4 linked regions of the Diceros bicornis minor genome follow. The protein of the gene in region 1 purifies or fractionates together with the protein of each later gene. This does not show direct contact. Links are inferred from orthologs where the notes say so. Each region holds a gene or a part of one and is shown in the gene's direction. Other genes may lie near its edges.

Region 1 (7,598 bases):
GGAAATGGATTTCGTGGTGAGAAAGACCTGAGTTCAAATCCAGATTCCGCCTCAATTATCCATCACTGAAGTCTTAGATAACTAAACTGCGGAAATGGGATCCTTTCAACAGCTCCAATATCACATGATTTTTTTTATATCTTTTCTTTTTCTCCCAAAAGCCCCAGTACACAGGTGTATATTCTAGTTGTAGATCCTTCTAGTTCTTCTATGTGAGCAGCCAGAGCATGGCTACTGACAGACAAGTGGTGTGGTTCCACACCTGGGAACCGAAACCAGGCTGCCGAAGTGGAGCATGTCGAACTTGAACCATTAGGCAACCAGGGCTGGCTCAATCATAGGATTTTTTTTAAACAGTTTTCTTGAGATATAATTCACATAGCATACAATTTACCCATTTAAAGTGTAAATTCAGTGGTTTTGAGCCTCAGGGTTTTTGCAGGATTTGATGATATTGAACACACAAATTGTCATTACTATTAATAATTCTTTGATGGTGACTTACACTATTTTCTTAGGCTAGGTTCTTAGAACCAGAAATATGGGATAAAAACCTATAAACCTCTCAAAGGTTTTGGAAATAAGCCCTGTGAAGATAGAAGGTGTTCCTCTGGAGGTTTTAAATTTTTGTTTTTTGGGTTTTGTGTGTGTGTATATGTTTGGATAGAATTTGGTATGAAATTGTTGGGCTATTTGACTCAAGAAGCCCTCATGCCTTCTCCCTTGTGTAACCCTGAATTACACTCACCCCAAACCCACACACACAGTAATTAGGGGAAGTCGATTCTGGTTTACTGAACCTCCCTGCCCTGTCACCCACCCTTGCAGAGCCACCAGCCTGTCCCTCTCCATATCCAATGAGACTCACTCCTTCAGCGAGTGTTGCATTGGTACCATCTCCAACTGCCCATCTAATTAATTACACCAAGCATGCTGCCTGACAGGCTGGCAGGAAAGAGAGGCAGTGGGTCTCCGCCAACTCCATGGGGTACCCAACCTACCTACTAACAAATTGTAAAAACATACTCCATTTGGCTGTGGGAAGACTGACTGCAGGTTTTAGGGCAGAGTTAGCGAAGTGTCAGCCAAACCCAGGAGCACGTTGCACCAGAGTGATGTGTGGGTGAATCCTGAGGCATCCTGGCAGGTGTGGGAGCAGGTTACGTGAGATGGGTGTGGGTTAGGTGGTGAGGGATGAGAGGAAGGTGCAGGAAGGGTGGGTGGGGTCAGAGGTGCACCAGGGTGGAGGTGAGGAACGGGGCCCCAGTCAGGGTTGGTCCTAGTAGTTAGACCAGTGCTTTGGAACCATTTTTGGGTCATGGCGTCCTTTGAGCATCTGATGGATGCTGAGGAAAGAATGCGTGCGTGCGCTCACACACACACACACACACACACACACAGACACACACACCACAAATTTTGCACACAACGTCAGGGTTTCCTGAAACCCAGGAAGTTCATCCAAGGCCCAGGATTAAGAACTTCTGGGCTAGAGCCAGCCCTGATGGCCTAGTGGTTGAAGTTCAGCACTCTTACAGCTTCGGCGGCCCAGGTTCGCTTCCCAGTTGCAGAACACACCACCCATCTGTCAGTTGCCATGCTGTGGCAGCGGCTCACATAGAAGAACTAGAAGGACTTAGAACTGGGATGTACAACTATGCACTGGGGCTTTGGGGAGGGAAAAAAAGAGGAAGATTGGCAACAGATGTTAGCTCAGGGCGAATCTTTCCCTGCAAAAAAAAAGAAAAGACCTTCTGGTCTAGACTAGTTTACAGAGACTTGTCAGAAAGAAATCCTAAGGCTGCATTAAGAGCTTGAGAATGTTTGTGTCTTCTCTAGTAAAAGAGATTTAGGGAGGTCTGTGGGTTTGGGAATTAAATTGTAAAGTCCAGTTATTCCACAAATGCTTTATTTAGTTTCTTCCAGTTTTTATTTTTAAAATGTTCAAATCTACCAAAAAGTTGCAAGCTCATGTAGTCTCCAATTGTCAACATTTCTCCCTAATTACTCCGCTCTCCTCATGGATGCTCGTGCTCTCAGGAACCCATGTTTTCCTGGAGACTTTCCTTACCATTTGAGAGTAAGATGCAGATATTATGATACTTCATCCCTAAACACTTGGCATGTAACTCCTAAAATCAAGAGATTCTCCTTCATAACCACAACATAATCCCCACACTCACCAAACTTAACATTGAAACAATACTATTATGGAACATACATCCTATATTCAAATTTCCCCAGTAGTCCCAATAGTGTCCTTTTAGCTTTATTCTTTCTCCTTCCCTGCCTCCTTCCATCCCTCCTTTCCTTCCTACTTTTTCATCCAGGATCAAATCCAGAATTAGATACTTCATTTAGTTCTCTCTCTCAGGCTCCTTTAATCAAGAACACTACTCCAGAGTTTTGTTTTGTTTTTGCTTGTGACATTGACATTTTGGAAAAGTTCAGGCTGTTTTGTAGAATGTTCCCTAGTTTGGATTTGTCTGTGTTTTCCATGATTAGATTCAAGTTAAGCATTTTTGGCAAATGTTGCATCCCTTCTTGGTGCCTCACATCAGAGGGTCTGTTGGCCCCTTATTGATGATGTTAAGTTTGATTCATGGTTAAAGTGGTGACCTCCAGGCTCCCCTTTGAAATTAATAGGTGATCTGTGGGGTAACATTGTATTTGTTTAAAGCCTCCAACTGAGGCAAATGCTGGGTGAGCCAATGGTAAACACCCAACTCTGTCCTCTCTCTCAGGCTGTTTTTACAGTGCCAGAGGCAGACAATAACCTAGGAAACAAACAAATAATTACAAAATAGGCAGGTTTCTGAAGGATGGAGATAGGGTGCTGAGATAAGAGAAGTATCAACTCTAACACTTAAAGTGAGCTTAAAGGTGAGACTTGAAGAGGAAAAAGGAGTCAGCCGTGGGAAAGTGGGGGTGGAGGGAGTGGAGGTGGCCTTGGTCAACCTTGGAGGGTGGAAGGAACTGAAAGATGGGCATGTGGTGGTCTAAGGGAGGGCAAAGCGATAGGAGAAAGGCCCTGGGTCTGGTAATAATAATGTTGAACACTTAGTATCTGCTAAACACTGTTCTAAGTATTTCACATGGTTTACTTTGTCTAATTCTCTCCATAGCCCTGTGAAGTAGGTGCCATTACTACTTGTGTGTGTGTGTATGAGGAAAACTGGCTCTGAGCTAACATTCATTGCCAATCCTCCTCTTTTTGCTGAGGAAAATTAGCCCTGAGCTAACATCTGTGCTCATCTTCCTTTATTTTGTATGTGGGATGCCGCCACAGCGTGGCTTGATGAGCGGCATGCATAAGTCCACGCCTGGGATCCGAACCTGTGAACCCCAGGCCACCGAAGTGTGAGAACTTAACCACTACACCACTCAGCCAGCCCTGCCATTACTATCTTCATGCTGTAAAATCTGCAGCACCGAGACATTCAGTTATTAGCCCAAGGTCACACAGCTTGTAAGTAGCAGAGCTGGGATTCAAATCTGGATGGATCTGACTCCACAGTCTGTGCTCTTAACTACATTAAGAAGGAGGAAGCAAGGTCTCACCTAGAAAATAGAAAGTGAAAAAGGATTGGAATCAGAGCAACCTGGACTGAGTGAAGAAGTTCCGCTGATAAAGGATGTGGGATGGGAAAGCAAGACAAAAGAACGGCCCAGAAGATCAAAGAGAGAAGAGAGTTCTGGCCTAGAAGGCAACATAAAATAGGCTAAAGTTTGGTTGGCTGCTCCACCTTCAGTCCATGCCCAACCCCCAGCCTGTCCCTTCAGGCGGGACTCTCATGATTCTCCTGCTCTCCATCCTCCCAAACGAAACCAGGGTATTCACACAGTCTCAAAGTATCTCCCCACAGATTGATTATTAATTACAAAGGGAAAAATAGGAACTTTACAGTGAGAAACCTGGCTGGCTGGGGGTGGGTTGGAGGGTTTGTGAGGAAGGCTCTAGATGAAAAGAGTGGGGAAGTCTTGGGGTTGAGGAGTCTATGGGTGACAGGACAGGGTCCATTGGGGGAAGGGGAGGGGTCTCTGGGAGGGATGGACAAATCTTGAGGTGGGGAGACTCTGAATGATAAAAGCCAGTCATTGGGGAGGCACTTGATGGGAATAGTTTGGGTGACAGGAGGGTCAGAATAGGGTCTATGGGAGGTCGGGTGGGTAAATTCTGGATGACTAGAGGGTAGAGAGCTTGGGGTAGGAGTGTCCAGGGAAGTCCTGAAAGGGTACACGGAGGGTAAAGCTTCAGGGCAGCAGCCTGTGGGTTGGGGAGGCCCTTTGGCGAGCGCGTGCGACCAGACCGAAGATGGGCAGATTTGGAGGGGGCTGCGGACGGCGGGGGGCCGGGGGCGGGGCCGGCGCGCCCGGCAGGTCCCCCCGCACTGCAGGGGGCGCTGTGAGCTGGGCGGCCCCGGGCCGGGCGGCGGCCGCTCCTAGTGAGCGCGGCCCCTTTTCCGGATTTCCTCCTCCTTCTCCTCCTCCTCCTCCTCCTCCTCCTCCTTCGCCGCCGCCGCGGCCGCCGCTGCCCCTTTCCCGGCCGGCGGCTGCCGCTGCTGGTGCCACCGCCGCCGCCGCCGCTTCGGGGCCGCGAGCCGAGCGGAGGCCGCCGAGGAGCGCGAGCGCCGCCCGCCCCGCCGCCCCGCCGGCCGCTCCAGGGCCGGGCCGGCTCGGCCGGCGCCCCCCGCGCCCCCAGCCCGCCCGCCCCCGCGGGCCCGGCCTGGCGCGGCCGCCCGCCGCCGCGCTCCTCCTCCTCCTCCGGCGCCCCGCGGCCCGCCGCCTCCTCCGCCCGCCGCCCCGCGCCCCCGGCCGGGCCGCCGCCGCCGCCGCCCTCTGCGCCCCGCGGCGCCCCCCGGTCCCGCCCGCCATGCCCGGCCCGGCCGCGGGCAGCAGGGCCCGGGTCTACGCCGAGGTGAACAGCCTGAGGAGCCGCGAGTACTGGGACTACGAGGCTCACGTCCCGAGCTGGGGGTAACGCCGCCGCCGCCGCCCCCCGCCCGGCCCCTCGCCCCCCACCCTCGCCGGCCGCCCCCCAGCGCGAACCGCACTCGCCCCCCGGCCCTGTCTCCCCGCCCGCTCCTCCGCTGGGCCCGTGCTTCCTCGGCTCTGGGCTGGGAGGCAGAGCCCCCCCCACACATGTGCTCATCTTCCTCTCCCCCCTTTCTCGTCCGTTTCTCCCCGCCTTGCGCCCCCGTCCCTCCCCCGTGTCCCCAGGAATGCTTTCTTAGCGGCGAGAAGTGTAGGGTCCGGGGACCAGAGCCTGGTGGAAGTGAGAGAGCTCTTCCTCCTCACACTTTTGGGTTTCTATTGGGGTGGGAAGTCAGCAGCTGTCTTCTTGAGCTATTACAATTCTCGGCCTTTTTAGTCTTTTGAAATGAGGCTGGGTGGGAGGAAATTTTTCAAAGCTGTCCAGATTCTCGAAGCTGGCCCTGGCTGCCTTGAGGGTGTGAAGGATAAGACAGGTGCTGTGGCGCCCCGGGCAGAGGGGCACCCTCTGCGCCTCAAGGATGGATGCTTTGCTCATCCCTATAGATTGGCTCGGAGTGGTGCCTTCCTACCTCCTCTCCCCAAGTTAGGAGGGACCAGTTAGGTTAGGAGCTCTGAGCAGAGTGAAGGCAGCCAAGTGTGTGTTGTGGCTTTCATTTAGGGAATGAGTTGTGGTGTGATAGGTAGACACTTCCAAGTGCTTGATTAATGGAAGCGGCTGGATAGGGGTGTATAGTGGGCATAGGCCTAGTTAATCCGAAGTCCTGGCATTTATGTGTCGTTCTTGCCTTTCACAGTAATCAAGATGATTACCAACTGGTTCGAAAACTTGGTCGGGGAAAGTATAGTGAAGTATTTGAGGCCATTAACATCACCAACAATGAGAGAGTGGTTGTAAAAATTCTCAAGGTGAGTGTCTTATGAGTGGCATTAAATTTTTTTCCACAGGTCAGAAGGATATAAACGACCCCAGCCACATTCTAGAGTGAGCAATACGTGCTCTTATTTTGCGTATCTTCTGTCTCATGTCCTTCTGCTATTGCTTCTCCCACCCCATTTTCCTGTGAACTTTCAAGAAAATATGCAGACCTGTTTCGAATCTAAGTTTGATAGTTCAGGACCATCCTTGTTTTGAAATGTAGTTACGGACTCCCAAAGTGAAAATTCCAGAGGGGCTCCATTTGTTCCAAAATAAATAGGTATTCAGAAGAAAGAAAAGCCTTTTCATGAAGATTGCATCAGTCCAAGGGCTCCTTGAGCACTGAGTTTGTTACCCTTGGTGCTCTCAGTTGTTCCAGAAAGCAAGTCGGAAAAAATTGGAGCGGGTTCAAAGATGAGTTTGAAGCCTGAGTGGAGAGAAACACCTTGGTGGATAATCACTTGTTTCTTCTCCTCTGGTGATAAAAGTTTCAGGTGAGGTGGATGTAGTGAGCCAGTAGTGCCAGGAAGGTTCATTGTTGCTTATCAGCTAGTAGAAGTGAAATTGGAAGCAGTAGAAGAGTACACTTGAATCACTAAAATAGTAATTGGAACAAAGCAGTCTTAGTGTCTGGTTTAGTAGCTTAAGTTTGATAAGCTACAGCTTTTGTCATCTCTTGGGTGAAGACCCGATCTTAATGAGCGTGAGGAGTTGGCTGAATTCTCCTTCAGGTGACTGATTGTGTAGCTTTAATAACGTTTTATAGGGTGTACTAAAAAGTGATTCTTAGCATCTGTGAAGGGTTTTCATCATTACCAGATCATTTAACGTGTGTGCGTGTCATTTAGTGAAATACCGAGACAACCAAAAAGTAATTAATATAAGCACTTTTATATCTACAAGATTTCCAGTGTGGCCATTTTGCAGAGGCTCTGAATAAGAATGTGGGATTGAAAAGCTGTTTTTGTGTCTTAAGGATAGGGTTAGGGCAGCTGTGCAGCTGTTTAATATGAGGGGTCAGACTTACATTGTCTGAAAATCACCTTTTGGAAAAGTGATCAACTCTGTTAGTACCATCCTAGCCTAGTGTTGAAGAAGCAGAATTGAATTAGAAATAGGCAGTTATTTGTGCTGTTAGAAACACTGAGAGTGAGAAGTGAGGAATTGATACTGAAGATGTGGAGTTTGACTCCCCTCTTCCCTAAATATGAATTGCACTTACAAAGTCACATGGTCTTTTGTTTTTCTCTTTATAAGCATAAATATTTAAAGAAATGCTTCCTTCAGAGAAGTCACCTGGGGAAGCTATACAGTTTTTTCCTTTATACATAAGCATAAATGTTTTTAATATAAGCTGCTTAAAATCTTTCTAGGCAGTAAGCAAGGCATAAATTGAAATTAGGAATATCCTTATTCCACTGCTGTGCATTCAGAAGAATGAACTGCTGACTCTAAAGCAATTCAGAAAAATGTCTAAACTTTTGTGCCATGGCAGCATTTTTAGAATAAGTCTGCAACTTCCTGTGGTGTCTTTTTTGAAAGGAACAGCATTCAGGTGTACATATAAGTAACAGTATGTTCATTTAGGAAAGCTTTGTGTTGCTCTTTACTTATCCTTCTAGAGAACTTCATAGGGTCAGTTGCTGGATAGTGTTTCCTCTGCTCTAAAGATGTGCAGGATATGTTT
Region 2 (7,703 bases), on another chromosome or scaffold:
CAGATATGGACGGACGTGAAAAGAGTCTGGGATTTGGAGGCAGCAGAGCAAGGTTTGGTCCTGACTCTCCTGTTTAGTGCTGGTAACCTTGGGCAAGTCATTCATTCATTCATTCAATAAGCATTTATTCAGAATCTCCTTGTGTCAGTCACATAATCTTTGCAAAATGGTAACAATACCCATCCTCACTACCTTTCAGGACTGTTTAGAGGAGCTAATGAAATCATACTTATGAAGTGTTCAAGGTGAACGCTATACAAACGTACAATATTGGTGTTAATTTGCAAAAAGATAAAACAAACTTGGAGGGGCGGGGGGTGAAGGCCCAAACCACAGCTCTCAGTGTGTCGCTTGTACGAGACACACTCCTCTTTCGGGCTGTCCTGCTGTGCCCTGCACACTCCTGAGTCAAGCCAGACTTTGCCCAGGACTCCTTTCTCTTCATCTCTGTCCTTGGAAGCCCCTCTCTTGCTCCAAGGCCCTCATCAAAAGCTTCTGCTTCCGTGAAGTCCTTCTTGCTCTTGGGAATTAATTTCTCCATCCCACGTGTCCCTCCTCTGTTTCAGCCATTGCTGTGTTCCACCTGTGAACTATTGCGATGTGTTTCTAGATGAAGTCCTGCTCTTAGTCAGACAGTAGTGTTCTTGAGGGAGATGGCCATGTTCTCTTCCAGGAATCCTGGCTCTGCCCCTTTAGCTCATGTGACCTCTGTCAGGGGCACTGTCTTCTCTGAGCCTCAGTTTCCTTCTCTGTAAAACCTACCTATCCTTGCTGACGGTTGTGAAGATGAAATACTGCACGTCAAGGGTCCAGCACAGTGCGCCTTGTGTTTAATGGGCAGCCTTCCTATAGACGGCTTCTGAATAAAACTGAACAGCATGCATGCTTTGTTGGGCTCCTAATATGCACATAGAGGAGGTGGCCACTTAATATGCGCAAATGAGGAATGTCGGGATGATCCCCACCCAGTAATATTTTCCCCACCCAGGATTTGGTACCTGAAGTGTCACCAGTTAATATTAATTCCTCCTCAAAGGCACTCCTTGATGTTTCAATACCACGGGGAGAGGCGAAGCATTCAACCACTCACCCTTCTGGAGTCTTGGGTGATGGTGGCCACGGTCATGGGTGTGGGGGGGAGGTGAGGATTCTGAAGAGAGACTTGGCAGAACTGGTGTTGCCTCATGTCACATGTTTATTTAAAACCAAATATAACACATTTATTTAAAATCAAAGTTTCAGGATCTTGTGTGTTTTTTTCCTGACACCCATTCTCCAACAACTGGGTGTCCAACAATTCAGTTCAATTCTGACATTAACTACCCAGAGTTAGCGCAGACCCCACAGGTTTAGGGCTCAGTCCCAGAAGTCTGTCCACTTCAGATGCCAGCCACAAGTGGGGTCCCCAGGCTACCCACACTTATGCTCTACAGACTATAAATTCGGGGTTCCCATGACTCCCCCTTAAGTTCCATGATTCGCTAGAATGACTCAGAACTCAGGGAAGCACTTCACTCACTATTGCTGGTTTATCATAAAGGATGCAACTCAGGAACAGCCAAAGGGAAAAGAAATGTGGAGGGGAGGAGGGGGGCATTGGTGCAGGGCTTCCACACCCTTTCCGAGTGCGCCACCCTCCCTGCATCTCAATGTGTTCATTAACCTGGAAGCTCTCTGAACCCCATCATTTGGGGGTTTTTATGGAGATTTTATTATGTGGGCATGATTAATTAAATCATTGGCCATTAGTGATTGAAGTCCATCTCCAGCCCTTCTCTCCTTCCCGGAGGTGGGGGGTGGGGCTGAAAGTTCCAACTCTCTTATCACGAGGTTGCTTTCTCTGGCCACCAGCCCCCATCCTGAAGCTACCTAGGGGCCCAGCGAGAGTCATCTCGTTAGCATAAACTCAGGTGTGGTTGAAAGGGGCTCTTTATGAATAACAAAAGACACTCCCACCACTCAGGAAATTTCTAGCGTTTTAGGAGCTCTGTGCCAGGGACTGAGGACCAAGACCAAATGTATATTTTCAATTACATCACAGACCCCCTGATGTTCTTACTTAAATACCATAGTTTTCGGAGCTGAAGAGAGGAAGGTGGAGGACTGGAGACGTTCTCTTTAAAGATGGTCTTTCAACTTCTTTGAAGTCCTTACGAGTCCTTTCTTCCAAATCAGAGTGTGTCTTGACCTTGTGGGAAGGTCCCTAGAGTGCAGGCCCTTCCCTTCTTTCCTATTGCTTGCTTTCTTCTCAGCAGTCCTCAGTTTTAGCAACCCCCCCGCCCCCAGAGCTCCACCTGCTCTCTGGCATGGTCAGCGCGGGGGCAGCCGCTCTCCTTCCTCTCCAAGTTGTCAGTGGCTGGGGAGGGTCTGCTTTCCGCTGGTCTTGACTGTACACTCGGCAGAAGTCCAGGTGAGAATGTCACACCCTGCTTCCCCCTTAGTGCTTAAAACATGAAGCCCGGACTCCTTACACTCCCACCCAGCCCCCAGCCTCCCTTCCCCGGCTTTCTCTCTCCTCACTCCTCCCCTGTTTGGCCACAAGCAGCCTGGCCCTTGGGTTTTCATCCTTCAAACATCCCAAGGCTTTTCCATCTCTCACCCCTTTTCCCCCCAAGGTCAGCTCCTCTGCACACTTGTTCCTTCGGTCACAAACATTTATGGAATGTGTCCCATCTGCCAGGCCCTGTGCTGGACACCAAGGAGGCTCGAAGGAAGGATGGCATGGGCTCTGCCCTTGAGGCACTGAATCTCTTCCTCCTTTTCAATAGCTGTCAGGTGAGACCCAGGTCCTCCCTGAGGCATTCCCCGAATACCGTCACCCACAGGCCTCCCGCCCTCCTCCCAGCCTCTCATCCACTTGGCACCTGGCACCACTTCCCTGTTTTGACATCCCTTCAGGTTTCTGTGTCTCCCCAGCTAGATGCTAGGAAGGACTTCCTCCATTCACACTGTGTACTGCGTGTGCCTGCTGCAGAGCAGGACAACACAGTCCGGCCCCTGTTCTACTCTCCTGTGCGTCAGATGGATGAGAAAGAAGAATATGTATGATAAGTACACAGGAGGGCAAATGTTATGCAGGGAGCAAACAATGGGGTGCTGGCTTAGATGGGGTGTCAGAAAAGTCCCTCCCTCTCCTACCCTGGAGGTCTCTCAAGGTCGGGCGCTGTGTCATACAGAGCTATTCTTTTCATTAAAAGATGAGAGACCAATACACACTGTTGAAAAATTTAAAACTGTCCTTTGTAGTTATTTCCACTTTATACTAGAAGTTACAGACGTTCCACATAGAAGGGGTGTCAGGGGGATCACCTGATTGCAAAGAGGGACTTGGAGCCCAAGACAGAGGAGCCTCAATCATCCACCTCACAGGGGCAAATGGCGGCAGTAACACTGTATGATTCAATGGTAACACTGTAGATTGGCCAAGGGGTGGACCTGTTTGTAGGACAGTGTCTGTGAGCAGAGGAGTCTTGGCAGAAATTTCTGTAGAGGCAACAGGATGGAGAGGGTGGTTAGCGTGGTGGTGATGTGGCTGGTGTCTGGGCTGGTTTTATGGAGATGGGATTCAGGAGCTCGGAGAGCTGAGAATGTGATGCACAGGAGATTCTAGGAGACAATTCCAAGGCAGAAGTAGGATCAACGGCCCAGTCCTTCCTTCTCCTCCAAAAGGGGAAAAAAGCAATTGCCCTACATAGCAATCTGACTATGCTAGTAATAGGAATATCAGTAACTAGGATATCAAATGCCCCAGCCTCCGAAAATATGTACAGTCCATTCACTGAAGGGAATAGACTTATGGGTATCAAACAGGAAAAGAAGCCAAGATGGCACCTCAGGAGTCAGGAGTTGTTTTAAAACTGAATCTATTAGTCCACATTCATTCATTCACTTCAAGACTGACAGCTGTGATCTTAGTAGATAGATAGTTTCTTTTCTCTTTGTCTCCTGAAAGAGTCTTCGTTCTTATCACTACCCCACAACCTCTCAAATTCCTTGAAGACTAAGGTAGCAGAGGAATGCATGAATAAACGAAAGAATGACCAGGTGAAATAACATACATAGACGAAATGTTTATCTGGCACACAGTACCATCTCAGCAAATCTCAAGGAAGCAGTTGGTGCTGTTGGTGGAGACAGCAGGCTCAGTCTGTGTTGGAGTCCAGTCCTGCCACTTACTGAAGCGTGACCTTGGGCAGGGTCCTTTACCACTCTGTGCCTCAGTTTCCACCTTTGTCACCTGGGGCTAGTAATACTACCAAACTCATAGGTTTGTTGTAAGGATTAACTGAATGAATCCATTTAAATGCACAGTACAGTGCATGGCACATTGTAGGCATTAAAGAAAAGCTAGCTATTATTATAAAATTATTTTATCAATTTACACATTTAGTCAGGGAAGGAAAGCTCCCATGCTTGTATGGAGTTACCATAAATAAGTGAACTGGAGGAGCTGAAGGGCCTGATCTAAAGGGGAGACCGAGGTTAGGGAAGCGTGGGGCCAGCCCTGTGATTTTCAGAATCTGCTCTTTGGGAGCATCACCCCAGGTCCCAGCATGGCTCCTGAAAACGTAAAGGCCTTTTACATTTTCTCCTCAAGCCCTTATTTATTCATTTATTTCTCAAAACCCTGCTTTTACGGAGCGAGGGCCCTTGGCCAGATCTTGAGTTGTGAGGTTTCTTCTCAGCACCTCTTCTTTCTCAGCCCTGCACCCGCCAGGTGGCCTGCGCCCACCTCACCTTTCTTTGGGGTCCCGTGTCCAGCACGTTTCCCCTATCTCAGACCTCAAGGAAGGGCTTCGAAAATTCATAGAGAACGCCAGGGCGTCACCCTTCCCAGGGTGAACTGCAAATGAGAGGAGTGACTCTGCAGAGGTGGAATTTGGGGCGTCTGCAACGCGCGTAGGGGCGGAGCGGGGCCTCCCCGGCGGACCCTGTCTCGCCAGCAGGTGGCGGTCTATCTGCGAGGCCTGCAAGGTTCCCGTCCAGAAACTTGAACGGGATGTTGATGCCACTGCATAAGATCACAGTCGAATCTTCCCGAGCCGAGCTGTCGGCATCCGCGAAAAAGTGGGGAGAGAAGGGCGCTGACTTGCGGCTGGAGTGACTCAAGGATTGAGACACCACTAGCTTCATTCGGGAAGGCTTCAGGAGGGGTGAGTACTGAGCGGTGCACGGAAAACGGAGCGCTGTCCTTTTCTTAGAGCACTGTCCTTGGCTTGCATTGACTGGCCTTCCGACCCTCTGGGAAAGACATTTCTGAAAAGGAGCTGCCTGATAAGATGGAGGGAGCCCGGGAAGAAGCCCGGGGAGCCGGTGCCCGCGCGCCTGGCGCTCTGCAGCGGGAGGAGCGCGGGTTCCCTCCCGCCAGATGGCGCTGTCTGGCTTTCCCGTGGCCTCCCTCTCCAGTCCCCAGAGGCCTCCGCCGCAGCGGCCGCTCTAGCCAAGCGGCGCGGGCTCTGTGGTTCCGGGCGGAAGTGAGGCGCCGAGCGGAACGGCCTCTGGTGACATTTTCTCCGGGCGGCGCGGACGAGTGAAGGGAGTTGGTGGTGGAGGTTGCGGAGGCGGCGAGATTAGCTTTGCCTCTGCCGGGGCTCTGACGGCGACCCTTTGCTCGCCGCCGGGGCTTGTGCTGCGGAGGAGAAGGCGGCGGTGGCCGTCGCGTCCCGAGTCACCGCGGCCGGGAGCGTCCCGGCCGGGAGGTCGGTGCGTGCCCCGACGGGGCGTGCGGAGCGGGCGAGGAGGTGCGGAGCCGCCGCGGATCGCAGGTGAGGCGGGAAGGGGCGCAGGGCCGCGGCCCGGCTGCCGGTCGAGCCGTGGGAGCGGGCGGCGTCCCGGGGAGGGGTTGGAGCGCTGCGGGCCGCGGGGAGGGCTCTGCGGCGTCCGGGCGCGGGGGTTGTGCCGGGCCCAGCTGGGGGGCGCCAGGCGTTCGTGCCCGGACGTGGCGGGAGGCTCGGCCCCGGGGAGTGTACCGAGGGGGGCGGCACAGCCCTGACCCTTTGCTGCCCGCCCGCTGGTGACCCTGGCGTCCTCCTGGCCGAGTTGGCTGGCCGAGCTCCCCCTTCCCTGGGCCGCTGGGGCCCGGGCGAGGCGAGAGGAGGCTGGGGGGGCCGCAGCCCGCGGGCCGCGCGGGGCAGCGGCTTTGCAGCCCCGGAGTTGTCTTCACGCAACTTTCCGGCGCCTCGGGCTGCCGGGGAAGCGGTGGGGGCAGTTCTGCTAATTCAGCCAGCCCCGCGAGCCGGGGTCTGACGCCGGCACCTGCCCCTGCTCCTGCGAGCTTTGGGGCCGCCCCAGCGCCGCAGCCCCCGGGGCCTAGGAGGAGGGAGAGGAGGCTTTCTTAGGCTGGGCGCCGCCTGCCTCTCGGCGCTTCCACAGCCTTCGGTCGGCAAACGCCTCTGGTCCATGGGAGGGATGTGTCAGTCTCCAAAATTGACCTCTTCTGGCGAGTTTGTCAACTTTATTTAGAAAACCGGGGAGGATGTAAACTGACGAGCCCCAAGTTAAAGATCATCGTCTTCTCTGACTCTTCCCAGAGAGAGTTCTCTTGTCTTCCCCAGTAGCGCTTTGTATTCGGTACTTTATTTCTTATAGCACCGACCTCAGTATATTGTTGGGGCAGCAGCCCTCCAGAGAACCGCACGTCATACATTCTCCCTTTAAATCGTCCTTTCTGCTGTCACAGGATAGATACTCCCAGGTTGAAGGAATGAACGTCTGTACTTGTTCTCCCAGATTGAAAGGCTTGAGCACTTTATGTTTGGATGAGCTTTTGCTTTCTGAATCCTTCCACCTAGTAGGATGAAAAATCCCACTGATGATGCTTTGTCAAGGTTGAACCCCTTAATTACAAATACATCTGGCAGTTTTGCTTAGGCTGGTACTGTGTAGTGTCGTTGGACACATGCTAACAGTTTGAATCATTCCCTTTCTTCTGGGATATTTTAAGAATGGAGGCTGTTAACTTTCTAATGTAGTTTTGCTGATCGTGGCAATCTGGCTTCCTCCAGGGAGGGCATTGCCTTTTGGTTTAACAAGCATTTTTAGAGGCCTGCAATTGATGGTTATTATCTGATGTCCTGAGGAGTCACAGTGCTTAGTAGGAAGTGTAATATTTTGGTTGAGTAATCTGGCCAACACAATGCCTAGTTGAGTGCTTTATGCACAGTAGGTGCTCAGTAAATATAAAATAATGAATTAAATTTGAATTCAGGAAACTAAGATGGAATTTACTGCAATGACTTTTATGCTGCATTAAAAAGAACCTTAGTGAAATTTCATGCAGTTCTATTAAGTGAGAAATAAAAATATTTTTAGATCTTTCTAAATCAGGTTCCTTCAGAGTGCTTCTCAGTACCTCTGTAGTCTTAAAACTTCAAACCATGTCTTTTTTATAACGTATTGTAGATGTAAACTTCAAAATAGGCGTGTACAGTATGAAAGACAGGGAAAAACTTCAAGGGTAATTATACTTAACGCATCAGCTAAATATGATTTCTTAATGGAAATTTTTTTTTCCTGACATCTTTTTGTGAAAAATGGAATGGACTGGATTTTGGAGCCGGAAACTTTCCCCATTGTTAGCTTCATAGTGTGGTTGTTACATTACTCACTAGTTCAGTTTATATTACTCTTAAATGCATTTATGAAACAGTGTCATAATCATTCTCTTTGTTTTATAGTCTTCATGATTAATCCAAGACTCGTAT
Region 3 (7,411 bases), on another chromosome or scaffold:
CTCAATTTTGGGAAGTTGCATTTGAGGAATCTGTGACACACACACGTTGAACTGTCCAGGATGTAGTTGGGCATGTGAGTCTGGGGTCTGGTATATGAGTGTGAAAAAAAGTCTCCTGTAGAATGTAAAACCCAAGCCTGTGCCTTGTGGATGCAGGGTCTAGATGTAAATTGCCGGATTGGAATATTGATCCCAAACTGAGAAATGAGCTCAAAAAGACTCTTGGACCTCTGGGGCGAGACAAAAAGCAAATTCTCTTTGGGAACGCTTCTTCACCTCAGGGCACAGGGGACTCCCCAGAAATAACACCCATGAAGATGAGTACCTGAGAAAAAACTACAATTGGATCCACCACAAGGAAGTGTCAGTGGGTGACACCAGAGCCCATTTAGATGATTAACCATGGTTAGAATTACAGTATGAATTACCAGCATTTACAGTGCGTGGAATTCCATTTTGTAGTAACTTGACACCCAGACATTAGCTTTTCCCAGCACTAGCTGAGGAATTTCTAAATGGGATGGAGGAGCTTAGAGGTGGCAATCTGGTACATGGGGCGGGGCTAGAGGACTTGTCTTGAAACTGTATTTGCAAAGCAGCACGGTGTTTCTACTTAAATTCCATCTGTTTATTTGGGGAGATGATGAAGATTATGGAGGCGGCTAACCCCTGCCCCTAGCCGTGCCTAGGTGTTGTCACAGGCTTTTGACCCTAATTTTAACTCTTTTCTGTACAGTTTCTTGATGGTAAAAAGCTGGTCAACAGGGAAACTAGAATTTTGATTATTTTCAAAAGAGATGAGGGATGGGGAAACGGACAATGCATTCTCCTGACATCTCTTGTTCCCCCCTTTTAAGCTGGATGGACCTCCAGCCTCTTTTTCCTGGGCCAGAGTTTCCCAAATTGTGTTTCCTGCATATCTATAGATATTATAAGAAAAAAGGTTTCCAGGGTCAAATTCGTTTGGAAATGCTATATTAAAAAGGGAGTGTATGAGTTTTCTAGGGCTGCCGTAACAAAGTACCACAGACTGGGTGGCTTAAAACAAGAGAAATTTATTCTCTTACGGTTCTAGGGGCTAGAAGTCTGAAATCAAGGTGTCAGCAAGGTTGGTTCCTTCCTGGGGGCTCAAAGAGAGAATATATTCCACGCCTCTCTCTCTTAGCCTCTGGTGTTGCCAACAATCCTTGGCATTCCTTGGCTTGTAGATGCATCACTCCAATCTCTGCCTCCTTCTTAGTAAAGTATTCTCCCTGTGTGTCCACATCTCTTATCCTCTTCTTATAAGAACACCAGTCACTGGATTTAGAGCCCACCCTACTTCAGTATGACCTCATCTTAACTTGATTACATCTGCAAGGACTCTGTTTCCAAATAAAGTCATATTTACAGGTACCAGGGATTAGGACTTGAACATATCTGTTTAGGGGACACAGTTTAACCCACAACAGGGAGAAATAGATTTCTTCATCTTACAATTTGTTAGGCTTCAATTTTGGCGATTCTGTAAACGAGAGTGGACAGAGCATGCTGATTTTTTCAAATTCAAGTAATCATGAAAAACTTATTTTTAATGGAGTGTCCCATGTGACCAGTGTTCTGAGGAACATATTTGGGTGGGTGGGGAAGAAGTGGAGCCTCTCTCTCATTAAGCCTCTGTTTAGCAATGACCACTCACTTTCCTAAAGGTTTACAGTGACTGTACAGTCTGGTTGCCTGATGGTGGCTGCTCCTTATGGCTGCTCTGGCCAGAGATCCTTGGCAGCCACTGGGGTGGAGATTGCCTCTTTCTGGGGGCCCTGAGGCCTGGCTAGTGAGGCTGAGGTAATATGGTGGGGTAGGCTAGCCAATCCAGGCCATGCTGGAGGAGAGCCTTTGGTGTTTGTGGCTATGGGGCTCCGGTTTTAGACGTCCCAGAACTGGCATGATGTTGCATTTTCTGAAGCTTGAAATGGGATATTGAGTCTGCGAGTTCAAGGGCGCATTGGGGAACATTTGACGGAGCTGCTCTGTCCCAACGGGCAAGTTGTAAAACGCATGCCCCTAGGGGGTGCAATTCACATTGTAGACATGGTAGATCAAATTTTCTTGTAGTAAGAGTGGCCTGTTCTCAAAACATCGGTATTTTGTGACAATTTTCCAGCAGTTGTCAATAAAGTCCCCTGAGGAAGGGGCACCTTTTTCTAGTTGGTACAAAGGTGACATATGGGGTAAAGGTGGTCCTGAATGGGAAGGAGAAGCCATCACAATGGGCTCTTGGAATGTTAGGTCTGAAATGGCTCTTGAGAGAGGAGTGGTCCAACTCTGGATTTGCTAAGAATCTTGCTTACAAATAATAGAAACCCAACTCCAACTGGCTAAAGCCAAAGGAGAACTAATCATAAGAACAGGGATGCACCTACAACTAAGGAACATACTGGATCCAGGGACTCTGGCACAGTCAGGACCTACCTCTGTCTCTCTGTTCTCTCTTCTCTGCTCTTCTTAATGCATCTGGGACCTACTTTCCTTCCTTCTTAGTTTACGTTGTACGAAACCTGGTGGCAGACAACTCCTGGGAGTCACATGGTAGCGATTCATTGGCCAGCAGAGAGATTGGCCTCTTCTAGGTTCCAGTGTCAAAATCCTGGGGAGGAGACTTAATTGACTCAGCTTTGATCAGATCAATCAAATAGCCTGTGTGTGTGTGTGTGTGTGTGTGTGTGTGTGTGTGTGAAAGAGAGAGAGAGAGAGAGAGAGAGAGAGAGAGAGAGGGAGGGAGGGAGGGAAAGAGGGAGGGAGAGAGAGAGAGAGGGAGGGAGGGAGGGAAAGAGGGAGGGAGAGAGAGAGAGAGACTGTAACCACAGCAACTGAGTGGATGTTGGGAGTGGGACCGGTAATGGTCACACATCCTACAGAGGAGCATTGCAAACAGAGGTCCAGAGACAGAAAATGGCTTGTCACCAGTCGCATAGTCAGTTGACAGCAGAGATGGGAGTGGACCGAGATCTTATATGGCTAAGTCTGTGTGTTCTTCATAATCCAATACTGCCTCCTTTCAACAAAGTGGTGATTTTATTGATACAATTTTGCATTTCAAGGTAAAAATTTTTACTAAAATCTAATCAGAAAATTCTGTAGCTCTTCCAGAAGAGGCAAATGGAGAAATGAAGAACTATAAAGAGAAAGACATTATATAAATACTCAGGGTGTTTCCCAGTCCATTAACTAAATACTTGCATACCTTCCAGGGCTGGGGCCAAAGAGATGTGTTTAAACAGTGAAGGAGACGGAGTAATTGGGAGGTGCTTCACAATCCCTACTTCATTGGGTTTTAGGTATGCCTTAAGTTATTTGCCCTTCAAATTTGTGAGGTGGGTATTGTTAACTCCATTTTTCAGATGAGGATGCTGACATTCAGCAAGATTATTACCCAAGATGATGAGAGAGCCAAGATTTCAACTCAACCCGAGTTTGCCCAATACCAGCGCGGTAACTCTTTATTATTAATCCACAAAGACTGAATAGTGATGAATGAAACATTCTGACATGACATTTCTGCAGGTTTCTGGGACAACCGCTGATCACCTGGGGTTGCCCTTCTTTTTTTTTTTTTTTGAGGAAGAGTGGCCCTTTGCTAACATTTGTTGCCAGTCTTCCTCTTTTTTCTTTTTTCTCCCCAAAGCCCCAGTACATAGTTGTGTATCATAGTCGTAGAGTTGTAGCTCTTCTATGTGGGACACTGCCTCAGCACGCCTTGGTGAGTGGTGAGTATGTCCGCGCCCGGGATCTGAACTAGCGAACCCTGGACTGCTGAAGCGGAACTCCAGAACTCAACCGCTGCACCACCGGGCTGGCCCGGCGTTGCCCTTCTTGTAATAACGGCTGCCACTTTTTTGAGCAGTTGTTATGTATCAGATACTGTGCTAGGTTTGTGATCGCATTTAATCCTTAGGACAACCTATGAGGATGGTACTACTGTATTATTATCTATTTTACAGGATAGGAAGTTTAGGCTTAAGCTATTGCCTTTTCCTGAGTATTCTATGAATAAATTCCTATTAGTTAAATGCCTAATATAGTGCTAAGTTAATAAATTAACAAAACTCTTGACCAATTGGCCCGATACTCCACACGCGTGATGTATCCACTCTCTGCCACTAGGTGACGTCACGACCAACCCCACCACTATATTCCCTGCCAAGAGCCACCGCCGATATCTCGCGAGAGCCGTGGTTTCCTCCAAACTGTTTTGGATATACGCGCGGCGTAGGACACTTTAGTCAGGGTAGTTTCATGGTTTTCAGTCAATCTTCCTAGACTAAGGCTTTAACAAGGTACTTACTGCCTTTCAGCCACCCGAGTTCTCGCGAGACTTGCTACTCTGCTTCCCTCCACCCCCTTGCGCCTGCGCAGATCTCTTCAAAGCAGAAGGTCGCGCTTGGAGGAAGTGGTGGCTGTGGGTTCCGCGTCCGCAGCGCCATTACTAGTTTTCTGAAGGTCCTCTCGGCCGCTTGCCGAGACACCCCGCCACCAAGATGCCTCGAATTATGATCAAGGGAGGCGTGTGGAGGAATACCGAGGTAAGTTACCTTTTCCCGCCGTCCGCTGCCCTCCGCCCCCTCTGGCAGCTTGTGCGCAGGCGCGCGGAGCTCGGGGAGGCGTGGAGGATGTGCCCAGTGGGGTCGGCCGCTGGGGCAGAGCGGGGAGTATCCTCGGGGCCGTTATGTGGTGCCAGGCCCGTTGTTATCTGAGCACGTCTGGGGGCGGACCGTGGTTTAACCCCTGACTACCTGCCAAGCACTTGTTAGGCCCGTCGTGAACATTTGTTAAGTGAGGACGCGCCCCCCGCCCTGGAGGAACTCAGTGTGGAGGGGGAGATAGGACATCCGCGAGAGTTGGTTTTCTGGGACACCCCCGTCCCTCAGCCCGGGCACCATGTCTCTCTCTGACACTAAAAAATAAACAAGTGCTGTGGCCACAAGTTTGTTGCTTCATTGACTTGCTTGTAGAGGGGAAGCAGCTGGAGTGCCAGGTTCAAAGAGCCCATTTCTGCCCGCATCTCCGGTTATCTGTTATCAAGGCATAGCTTGTCTCTCCTCCCGACAGATCCTGTCGCTTCTTGTCTTTCCGCCTCAGCCTGGATAGAAGCCAGATAGGACAGACTGCCTACAGTAGTCTCTTTGCTTCCAGAAATGTAGCGGATAATGCTAGTGGTGAGCCAAAGGGCAGAAGAGAGGGAGTAAAATAGAAATAAGATTTTAATGCCGTTTGTGTTTACAGTGCGCGGTATTTGTCGGTTTCTGGAGCACATCATATCTTTTCCTGCCTCTTCCCCCTTGGCGTCTTTCTGACCATCCTTCAAAACCCAATTCAGAAACTCTTCTTCGAATTTTTGCCCATTCACCCTGTAAAAATTAACTGCACCCTCAGGGGTCCATGGCACCTCTTTCATCTAGTTGTATTTTGCTTTGTCCTTTTGCAAGAATCACATTCTTCTGTGTGATGCTGGTAGGTTTCTTTTTTTTTTTTTTAGACTTTATTTATTTATTTATTTTTTTTGTGAGGAAGATCAGCCCTGAGCTAACATCCATGCTAATCCTCCTCTTTTTGCTGAGGAAGACCGGCTCTGAGCTAACATCTATTGCCAATCCTCCTCCTTTTTTTCCCCCCAAAGCCCCAGTAGATAGTTGTATGTCATAGTTGCACATCCTTGTAGTTGCTGTATGTGGGACGCGGCCTCAGCATGGCCCGAGAAGCAGTGCCTTGGTGCGCGCCTGGGATCTGAACCCCGGGCCGCCAGTAGCGGAGCGCACGCGCTTAAACGCTAAGCCACGGGGCCGGCCTGCTGGTAAGTTTCTGATAACCTCTCACAGCCTCAGTTTTCTCATTTTTCTAATAGGGATGATAATACTACTTACTCTCTTGAGGATTAAGTGAGTCAGTACATTTGGAACATTTAGAACAGAGTCTGCTGTGTAGTAGTCTTTCAGTAAGTGCTAGTTGCTATTTCTTTCCCCCAGCAGACAGCATTGTAATTGTTATCCCTAGAACCTAGATCAGTAACTAATATGAAGTAGGTTGCTTGGCAGATGTTTGTGGAATGAATCTAGTAGGATAGATAACTGGTATGTATACCTAGTTGAAGATGTGTTTGAGTATAGCAGTACTGCAACAGAGTTACAAATAAACTCTGTGACAGCCTTGCCTCAGAGCTTGCAGAGCAGGAAACAGGCTGTTTAAATTGGAGAAGAGATGCCTTCTGGGAGAGAGACAGATGTACAAAAACAAATAACAGCAGGATTCCTATGCAGTGGCCAAAGCCCTGTAGTCTTTTTAAATCTCTGATGATGGGGGTGGAGGTGGAGTGGCCCATGTATGTATGAGCCATGTAGCTCGAGTTCAATGTGGAAAAACGCCTAAAAGTAAAATGCCGCAAGTGGATTCATCTCTGGCACTGTTATCCCTGGTGTCTGTGGCTTAGCTTGCTGGGCTTCCCTGGAAATGGTGAATTCTATATTGGAGTGGGTGCCCTGGTGAAATAGTATCTAGAGACTGGGGGAGGCTGGAGGCATAACTGACCCATGAGGTAAGAACTGACTTAATTCTTAGGTTAGATCTGAGATGTGGATTTTTGGGTCAGAGTAAGAGTTATGGGACTGGAGAGAAAATGCCATTTGTAAACTGGAGACAGGAAGCCTGGATTGGAGAGTGGATTCACCAGGGTCTTGACTTGCTTCTTGAGGGCTGGATGTGGCCTATTCGATTCTTTTTCCCCAAGTACCCAAGACCCGGTACAAGGTAGGTGTTCAGGAAATGTTTTCTGAATGAATGAATAAGTGAATGAGCTGTACTCTTTTGAAGAGAATGACAGCTACACATTGGAGAATACTTTTTGTTAATCTCTATCAAATAGGGTCTCTCAGATTGGGCTGTACCCACTCCCAATTTATTGGGGGAGTGTTGTGTGTAAGGGAGGGTAGGATATCCTAAGGGATTTCCCCCTAATTTCTTGCATTTGGCTGATTCTGGCTTGCTAGAATGAGGTTTTTGTACTTTCTGTTTAAACCTAGGCGGGGTGTGTGTGTGAGTGTGTGTGTGTTTCTCTCTCTTTCTCCCTAGCAACCCTGTTAGAGTTAATTTAAATTTTGTCTTTTCTTGCTTGGAGTTTTGTGATTGAATATACTGTTTTTCTTTGACAATTTTTTAGGATGAAATTCTGAAAGCAGCGGTAATGAAATATGGGAAAAACCAGTGGTCTAGGATTGCCTCATTGCTGCATAGAAAATCAGCAAAGCAGTGCAAAGCCAGATGGTATGTACCAGTTAATGAGTGGAAAACAGTAAATGACCTTCATTATGATGAACAAAATGTCAGTTCTTTGAACCTTACCAAAGAAAGCAGGCATTGTGATATAACAGAAAGTATGGAG
Region 4 (7,796 bases), on another chromosome or scaffold:
CAGGAGAGACCCCTGGGAGCCACTAACATTTAGGGGAGGATTGAAGAAGAAAAAGGCTGTGAAAGATTGTGATTAATAGGCAGAGGTAACAGGACAAGGCCAGGCTGTATTCTCACAGACTGATGAGACTTGGGGAGTGGCTGGGATGAATGAACAAGATTTGGAAATGTAGGTTCACTGGTGGTCTTCTCGGGGCAGGGGCTGACAGGGAGGAGGCATGAATGGTAGGTGAAGGAATAGAGATGGCAGTGCTTGGGCTGTCTCCACTTCAACCAAAGTGAGGCCCACCTTTATCTCTTACATATTAGCCCTCTGAATAAGATTTCATTTGAACAAAGGAACCTGCTGCTTTAAAAAGAAATCACCAAACAAGTGATATACAAAAGGAAGCACTTTGAAAACATAGAGCCAGGTAAATTGGAGAACATATTGTTATATCTGTTTTCTAGATTTGGACTGGAAGTGACCCAGAGGGGTAAATTAATGCTCAGTGAGGGGAAGACATTTCAAGGCAGTGAGTAGCAGTCTTAAAACCCACTAAAAAATTCCAAGCCTCCAAAGCCGCCCAGAAATCAGAAATACAGAATATGTACAACCTAAGCCAGCTGGTTGTCAGAGAAATAGTTTCTTCACACAGTGGGATCATTGGGTCCTTTAGGCCTGTCCTGGGCTCTTAGACTGCAGCACCGGAAACTTCACATCTGAATGGCCAGGAGACAAGGGTATAGCAACAAGATAAAGGAGAAAAAGTTCTGAGAAGTCTTGACTAAATGCTAGGCATAGTTTATTTTTACCACACTCATGTAGGTATTCTTTTTTTTTTTTTTTTTTTGCTGAGGAAGACTGACCCTGGGCTAACATCTGTGCCCATCTTCCTCCACTTTATATGGGATGCCGCCACAGCATGGCTTGACGAGCGATGTATCAGTGCGCGCCCCGGATCCAAACCCCGGGCCACCAGCAGTGGAGCACGCGCAGTTAACCGCTATGCCACGGGGCTTGCCCCATCACGTAGGTATTCTTATTCTTAGTTTACGGATAAGGAAATTGGAAAGATAAGTGACTTGCCAAAGACGTCCAGCTAGGAAGCAACTAAACTGGGATTCTGAACAATAGCTTGAGTTTTCCCCTTGAAGCCGTAGGGTACTTTGGGTTGGGGGTGGGAGCAAGTCTCAGATGCCCCTCATCTGGATATTCCCAAGCTGACAATGGTCTTCTATAGCTGGCAGAGGTTCTGTCAGCAGGGCACTAGCACTGACGCTGACATCTTTTTGGCAGAGTCACTGAAAGGCAGGCCCTAAATGTCAATCACAACCCATAAGCACCCTCAAGAACTATGAATGAGTCCTTTTTGTGAATGAGGGGGTATATGTGTGTGTGATGCCTGTGAGAGAGCGTGTCAGAAGGTGTGAGAGTTTTGAGTACTGTATATGTGTTGTGAGTTGAGGAGGCATGTATATATGTGGTTGGGAGACAAATCTTGCGTCTTTGAGGATAATTTTTTTTGGAAAGGGCCAGAAATCATTTAGAACTATTTGGGGACAAACTGCTCTTGGAGTTAGGGAAGTAGGGAGGGTGGAGCAGGAGGGGAGGCTGTTTTTATCCAGAAGCCCCAACCTGGACCATGGTACCCTAGTGTGTATAGAGATAGATAGCACATGGGGGCATAGACAAAGCTCAGGCTTTGGGCCCAGAATTGCCATGGCTGCTTGACTTGGGCAAGTCATTGTACTGCTCTGAGCCTCAGTTTGCTCAACTACAAACAGGATAATAATCCCTAACTCACACAAAAGAGGCCTCCTGGGAATCAGAACTTGGCTTCCCAATGTGACTTTTCCAAGGAAGCTCTCACCCAGATCCGTTCACTGTTCCGTCCTCACTGATAGACAGTAGGGAAGAGGTCGGGTGGATGCAACCTTCAGTGCAGCTGGAGGGCCAATGCTGCCAAATCAAATACTCACTTTCCCAAAGAGTCTGGGACTGGCTGTGCTATGCAGGCATCAATGTACTGAGTCAGAAACAATCACTGGACCCCTTCCAAGGGGCCTCTTATGCCTGACTGCTGTGGGCACTGGGGGCTCAGAGGTGAAATTAGATAGAGTGGCTATGCTCTAGGAGCTCAGTCTAGGGGGTGTTCAGGAGGGGATTTCCACCAGCGTGGTGCACTCAGGAGGGTAGGAAGTGTCAAAAAAGTCTGGGTCTCTGAGTGGGAGTAACTATTCTAGTTGCAAATGCTCCTTAAAGGAACTTCATCCACAGTATACCGCTGTCCAGGCTTACACTCAAATGCTTGGGCCTTTGGCCTCCACAGAAGCTCAGAACCTAACTAGGTATATTAAAGCACATTTTATCACATTTGATCTTCATAACAGGGCAAAGATTGCTATGTTATCCTCTTGTACAAGACAGGAGGCTGATCCACAGAAAAGAGATTAGGTGGGACTCAGCTTACAGACTAATATTCTTTCTGGTCTACCACTCTGCCTCATCTCACGTTCACAGCATGTGTTATGCCTTCATCTAGGGCAGAACCTCTTGGGAAATAGAGCAGGAATCTGAGATGGGGCTCCAGACATCGAGGGATCTCTGATCTGATGTAGAAAAACTTGGTCCTCACTCTAGGGAGCCCCCAGTCTGAGAATGAACCTCAACCTCTATGGCCCTGTCAGGTGTTGGGCCTCCCACTGAATACACAGTCCTCATCTCCTGGCCTTTCCCCCTCTACACCCTTCCCCTCAGTGATTCCATCAACCAAGCTACTGCCCAAATTCTAGTCCCCACTCCACCTGGGATGATCTGCTGCCCTTGCAAATCAGTATTTCTTCCAGTCTGCCCTCTCCTTAGAGGCAAGCTTCCCTCCTCATCAGACCCCTCACCCCCAGGGACTCTTGAGTGAGAGAAGGAAGGGTCCTTAGAGCCTGTCTTTGTACTCCAATTTCCAGCCGGGGGTGAGGTGGGGGGGAACAGCCCCAGAGGGAGGAAGGGACTTGCCTAAGGATATACCAGTCACTGGCCATGCTATGTCTAGAACCCAGATCACCCAACCACCAGCCTCACACTCTTCTGCCTCTTCACATACCAGGCCACTGACTCCTTTCCCTCCATTACTCACACTGAATCAGTCACCCAGTCCCCTTGAGTCTTTCTTAAACACCTCTCCTTTTTTATTCTTGCTTACCCATTGCCACTGCCCTGGTCAAGTCCTCATGACATCTCACCTGAATTGTTGGGACTGATTAACTGGCACAGGCCCCCATTCTGCCCACAGGACTCTTAAGACCCTTCACATTCTGCATATCCCACCTGATCCACACTAACTTCCTTTCCCGGATGCCTCAATCAACAGGTCTTGCTTGCTCACTCATTGTGTGCCCTGGCCCCAGGCTCAGCTCTGTTGAGCGCAGACATGTGGAGTAGCCTTTGCCTCCCAGAAACTCTTTTTGGTTGAAAGTTATGACAAACACTGCAAATGATTCTGGGAACAATCTGAGGCAGATCTTTGACTTGAGGGCTGCTGAAGGTAGGGAAGGCTTTCTGGGTTGGGTGGCTGGGAAAGAGAAAAGAAGCCTTCTCTCGGGTCCCCCCCACCTACCCCTCCTACCAGAAGGTGTACCTCTGAGGTTTCCAAACCAAGTATTACAACAACCTTTGTGCCTCACCTTGCTTCCTGTAGTGACTCCTCACTCAACCTACTCTCAGAGCCCATCCAGCTGCTGGGATATTGAGTATCTTAAACCATAGTTCTGGGCTTGTGGTCCTGTGACCATGCTGCTTGCACGTTGTGTTGTGCAAGTCTAAGAATTTTAACCAGTTATTAAAGTCTTCTGCCGTTTTGTTCCATCCTTCCAACCCTGATTTTCATTACTACAGCCACACTTGAAGGTCCTTAACAATGTTTTGCATTTACCCCTTTGTGCCCTTTGCTGAAAATGACTTGCCCCTCCATTTCTGCCTGATGAAATCTTGAAGACCCAACTTGAGTGCTGCCTCTTCCATGAAGACTCCCAGTTTTCCTCAGCTAGAAAGAATCTCCCTTCTCTGAGCTTCTATGGATGTGTATTTATATATACATTCCTGCCTTGCCTTAGCTCTTTCTGTAGCATACCCTCAGCTAGGTGTGGAGCCCTTGGAGGGTACAGAGCATTTCATCCAGTCTCTGTAATCGTACCCAGCAGCAGGTGCGGTATGAATGTGTCTGCCTCACCCACATTAGATGCTCAGACAAGTGCCTGTTGCCCTGAACGCAGGACTTCCCGCTTACGCTGCTCATTTTTAGGCAGGCGCCTTAACAGAATGGGCCAGAAACGGTTCGGTTACACAGCCAGGGGAATCGGGACATTCCAGCCGGTCGCTAGGGTGTCCGTACCCGCCTCCCTCTGCCCGGCTCCAAATGGGGTGTGTATGTGAAGGAAGTGGTGGCCGAGTAGCCCCGCTAGCTCCTCCTCTGGGTACACCCTGCGGATCTCCCAAGGGTCTCAAGAAACTCGAGGCGGCGGTGCCGGAGAGACAGAAGCCTCTGCCATGGATGGGCCTCCCACTCGCGGCTAGTTTTATTTATTTATTTATATATTTTTGGAGGTAGGGGGCGTTCAATGAAGGGGAAGAGGTGGAGCGAGGGGAGGAGGCGGGCCCAGGGTGACTGACGCGAGCGCCGGGGAGCCAATGGCCCATGGGGGGCGTTCCCCCCCATTCAGGACTCCTCGCCTGCCTCGGAAGGTATGTTAAACAGCTGCTTTTCATTTGGTCTCCCCAATCTCGGGCGTTTGGGGGGCTAGTTCGCCGGCCGGTCGTTTTGGCCAGTCCGCCACGGTGCGGGCGCCGAAGGCCCCGGTTCGGAGCTAGGGGAGGCTCGGAGTCCGGCAGCCGAGGGAGGCGAGGGGCAGGCCAGGAAAGAGAGCTCTTGGCGCCGCCCGCCCGGCAGTGTGTGTTTCCAAGCCGGGCCCGATCCGTGGGGAGGGGGTCGGCCCGGCCCGGGGTCGCCAGTGCGCTGGCAGTGCTGCCTAGTTTATTTCACCGAGCAGTCAGTTTCGGTAGGTTTCGGCGGCGGACTGGGTAAGGGGCGGGCAGGAGGAGATCCTCCCCGCTCCTGGAATGCCTAAAAAAAAATTATTGTAAAGAAGAAAAAAGGAGAGATTCCGTACACCGACTGGAACTGGGCCCGGGCTGCGGCGCGCGGGCTCGGCAGGGGGCGGCGGCCTGAGCCCGCGGCGCCCGGAGTTGGTCGAGAGCTGGAGTTAGCTAGCGAGCCGAGGCCCGCGGCTTTCCCCGCTAACCACGCTGGGCGAGGGCGGCAGTCGCCGCGAGGGTTTTGTTTCTGTCCGCAAACTTGTCGGAGGGGGCGGTGGGCCCGCGGTTGTTATGGACTCTGGGGGCGGGGGCAACGCTGGACTCGCGGGAGGTGCTGCTGGGGGTGGGGGAGGACACCGGAAAGAGCCCCCCGCGCCTCGGCACTCGCCCCGCGCGCCGGTCTGGGCTCTTCAAACTCCCGAGCCGTGGCAGTAGAGCCAGCATTCGGTCCCGGAACCCACCAGGCCGCGAACCCGCGCGGAACTCGGCCCGGGGATGTGGAAAAACCTCCAGGAACTCGGCGGCTTCGACCCGCGGCCCCAGCTGATCCCCTTGCAAACATGGAGCTCCCTCCTTCCCCGCCCACCCTAAGGCGGCGGCGGCGGCGGGTCCCCGCCGCACCCCCCGGTCGTGCCGCTCGCCCGCGGATGGGGCGGGGACGGGGGCGCGGGCGTGTGTGCGCGCCCACGAGGGGTTGCCTGAAAGGGGCAGTGAAGGTCGGAAACTGGGAAAACAGTCTTCACGCTCAGAATCGGGAAAAGGAAATGCATCAGCGGGCGGGGAGGGGCGCGGGGGGGCGCGCCTGTCAGCCGGGATGGCGGCCGCGGGCTGGGAGGCGGGGCGCCGGCGTGAACCGCCGGGGTTGGGCGGGGCGCGCCGGGAGAGGAGGCGCAGGGGCCCCGGCCCACAGAGCGCCGGGTTGCCCCAGCTTCCATTCCTTGGCCTAGCCTATTTACTATCGACTCCGGCGGCGGCTTGTGCAACCAGCCCCGAGCGGGGCCGAGGGGCGGGGCCTTGTCTTGTCTCTTCCACCCACCTCGGGCTCCTCCAGAGAGCCCGCCTTCTCTTGTCTTCCACTGGCTGGACGAGACTCCCTTTTTTCCTTCTCGCTTATCGATTGGGTGACATTCTCCCGAGCTCCGCCTATCGGAGACCGGGCTGGAGTTTAAGTTGCTAGGATTTTTTTCAGTGAAGGGCGGAGGAGGATTCTTGCGGCCTACGTGTGGCGCAAGGTCCCGCCCCCACTTCTGGTTGGTGAGATGGATAGTCCCGCCTGCTCCGGCGGAGCGAGCTTGGAGAGGGAAGTCCAGCCCTGTTCCCCGCCCCCTCCCCTCGCTTGTGTGCGCGCTCCGCACATGTGTGAGGCCCGCCTTGCTCCTTCGAACTGTCCTCCCGCCCGGAAGTCCCCGGTTCGGAGCCCTTGGCGGGGGGAGGGGGGAAGGGAGAACCGAGAAGGCACACAATGATTCCTCCAAGCTCGCGACCTGGTAGTCTTTGTGATGAAGTGTAAGGGTGACGGTGTGGAGTGGATTTGGGGGGCTTAGCTCCGGGGGTTCTGCAGAGGTTGGGAGGAGGAGGTGCGATCTGTCCTTCCGGGCCAAGTACTAAAGTTCGGACTATTCCTGCGCCTCTCGACTTCCAGGAGACCACCCTGAGCTTAAGCTTGAGAACGCTGCCGACGCTGACAGTGTGTTTTCTTCCCAGCGCAAGGCAGCCGCAGTCCTTACTTGGCTTTATCTAAAACTCTGAGCAACCTAGGATTGGCCTGGATGCCTTAGGCAAGATCCGGGGTAGCTCATCCCCTGTTGACCGAGAAGTCGGGGCGGCCCAATCCTACTTGAGTTCGAAGTGGTTCTTGATGTCCAGGTAGGAGCACCGTGTGGCACCCAGTCCAGGGAGCGGGGGACAGCCCAAGTTAAAGGTAGCCCTAGGTCATTTCTGCGTAAGTGCCGCTTCTTCGTAACTTCCTACAGGTTTGGCCGAGGGGTCGCTTCGGTCTGTGTGACTTATTTTTAGAGCTCCGTTCTGGGGCAGGGCTTGGCTCCCGGCGAGACTGCTCCCATCTGTCAGCTACTCATGGAGTTCACAGTTCGCTGCCTTTTCCTTGCGGCTGGAAGCCATCCTTGGAGTCAGGCCCACCTGTTGCCAGCGCTCGATTCTTGCCGTCTCCGCTGGGTTGTGGAAGGAGGACAAGACAGGAGCTAGGAGTCGGTTGCGGGGGGCCTGCCACTTGGGGACTGACTCTAGCCTCTCTTGGGGGAGTAGCCTTTTTGCTAGAGAGAGCGGGAAAACTCTGGCCCCGCCCCCTCCTCTCCTGGCGCTCTGTGAGCGCCCCCCAAAGCAAGGCCAGAGTCAGTTCTTTGCCCTATTTGGTGAATAAATAAAAGCAACCTAGGTGTTGCAAGCACTTTGTCTCTTGTGTTCGAGGCACTATTACCTACACAGAGAGGGCCTAGGTACTGCCATTAACACTCGTTGGCCAAGGAGGAAGTGACCAGCCGTTCTTATTATCTTTTGTCTGTAACTCTGGACCTTTTATCCTTTCTCTGAAGTGTGGGGTGAAGGTTCCTTTATGCTGTGGCCTGTTTGGTCTCCTTCCTCAATTTTTCGAGTCTGAGGATGCCTCCAAATCTACCCTGGAGATCGGGAGTGCCTTAAGCCTCACGCTCCGCCTTCAGGAGGTTTGCCAAGGCGGTGGCTGTTAGGCTCTGCCTTCATTTTGGTTATCT

What was found.
Region 2: the proteins of CSNK2A2 (region 1) and ARK2N purify together in Homo sapiens (affinity purification with mass spectrometry; 6 studies listed by BioGRID and IntAct, counting the BioPlex papers as one, with this or other methods). This does not show direct contact. The link is inferred for Diceros bicornis minor from reciprocal best matches to the Homo sapiens genes CSNK2A2 and ARK2N.
Region 3: the proteins of CSNK2A2 (region 1) and CDC5L purify together in Homo sapiens (affinity purification with mass spectrometry; 3 studies listed by BioGRID and IntAct, counting the BioPlex papers as one, with this or other methods). This does not show direct contact. The link is inferred for Diceros bicornis minor from reciprocal best matches to the Homo sapiens genes CSNK2A2 and CDC5L.
Region 4: the proteins of CSNK2A2 (region 1) and SIN3A purify together in Homo sapiens (affinity purification with mass spectrometry; 3 studies listed by BioGRID and IntAct, with this or other methods). This does not show direct contact. The link is inferred for Diceros bicornis minor from reciprocal best matches to the Homo sapiens genes CSNK2A2 and SIN3A.

Annotation. Positions count from the first base shown.
Region 1 is NC_080771.1:11,518,473-11,526,070, reverse strand, and holds the start of CSNK2A2 (casein kinase II subunit alpha'), read left to right. Parts: upstream 1-4,591; 5' UTR 4,592-4,873; coding exon 4,874-4,977; intron 4,978-5,789; coding exon 5,790-5,901; intron 5,902-7,598.
Region 2 is NC_080755.1:39,164,393-39,172,095, forward strand, and holds the start of ARK2N (protein ARK2N), read left to right. Parts: upstream 1-4,701; 5' UTR 4,702-5,153; intron 5,154-5,478; exon of another isoform or gene 5,479-5,765; intron 5,766-7,703. UniProt on the Homo sapiens protein: AMPK substrate important for exercise capacity and skeletal muscle function.
Region 3 is NC_080753.1:21,503,004-21,510,414, reverse strand, and holds the start of CDC5L (cell division cycle 5-like protein), read left to right. Parts: upstream 1-4,406; 5' UTR 4,407-4,517; coding exon 4,518-4,562; intron 4,563-7,189; coding exon 7,190-7,293; intron 7,294-7,411.
Region 4 is NC_080744.1:68,207,251-68,215,046, reverse strand, and holds the start of SIN3A (paired amphipathic helix protein Sin3a), read left to right. Parts: upstream 1-4,794; 5' UTR 4,795-5,030; intron 5,031-7,796. UniProt on the Homo sapiens protein: Acts as a transcriptional repressor. Corepressor for REST. Interacts with MXI1 to repress MYC responsive genes and antagonize MYC oncogenic activities. Also interacts with MXD1-MAX heterodimers to repress transcription by tethering SIN3A to DNA.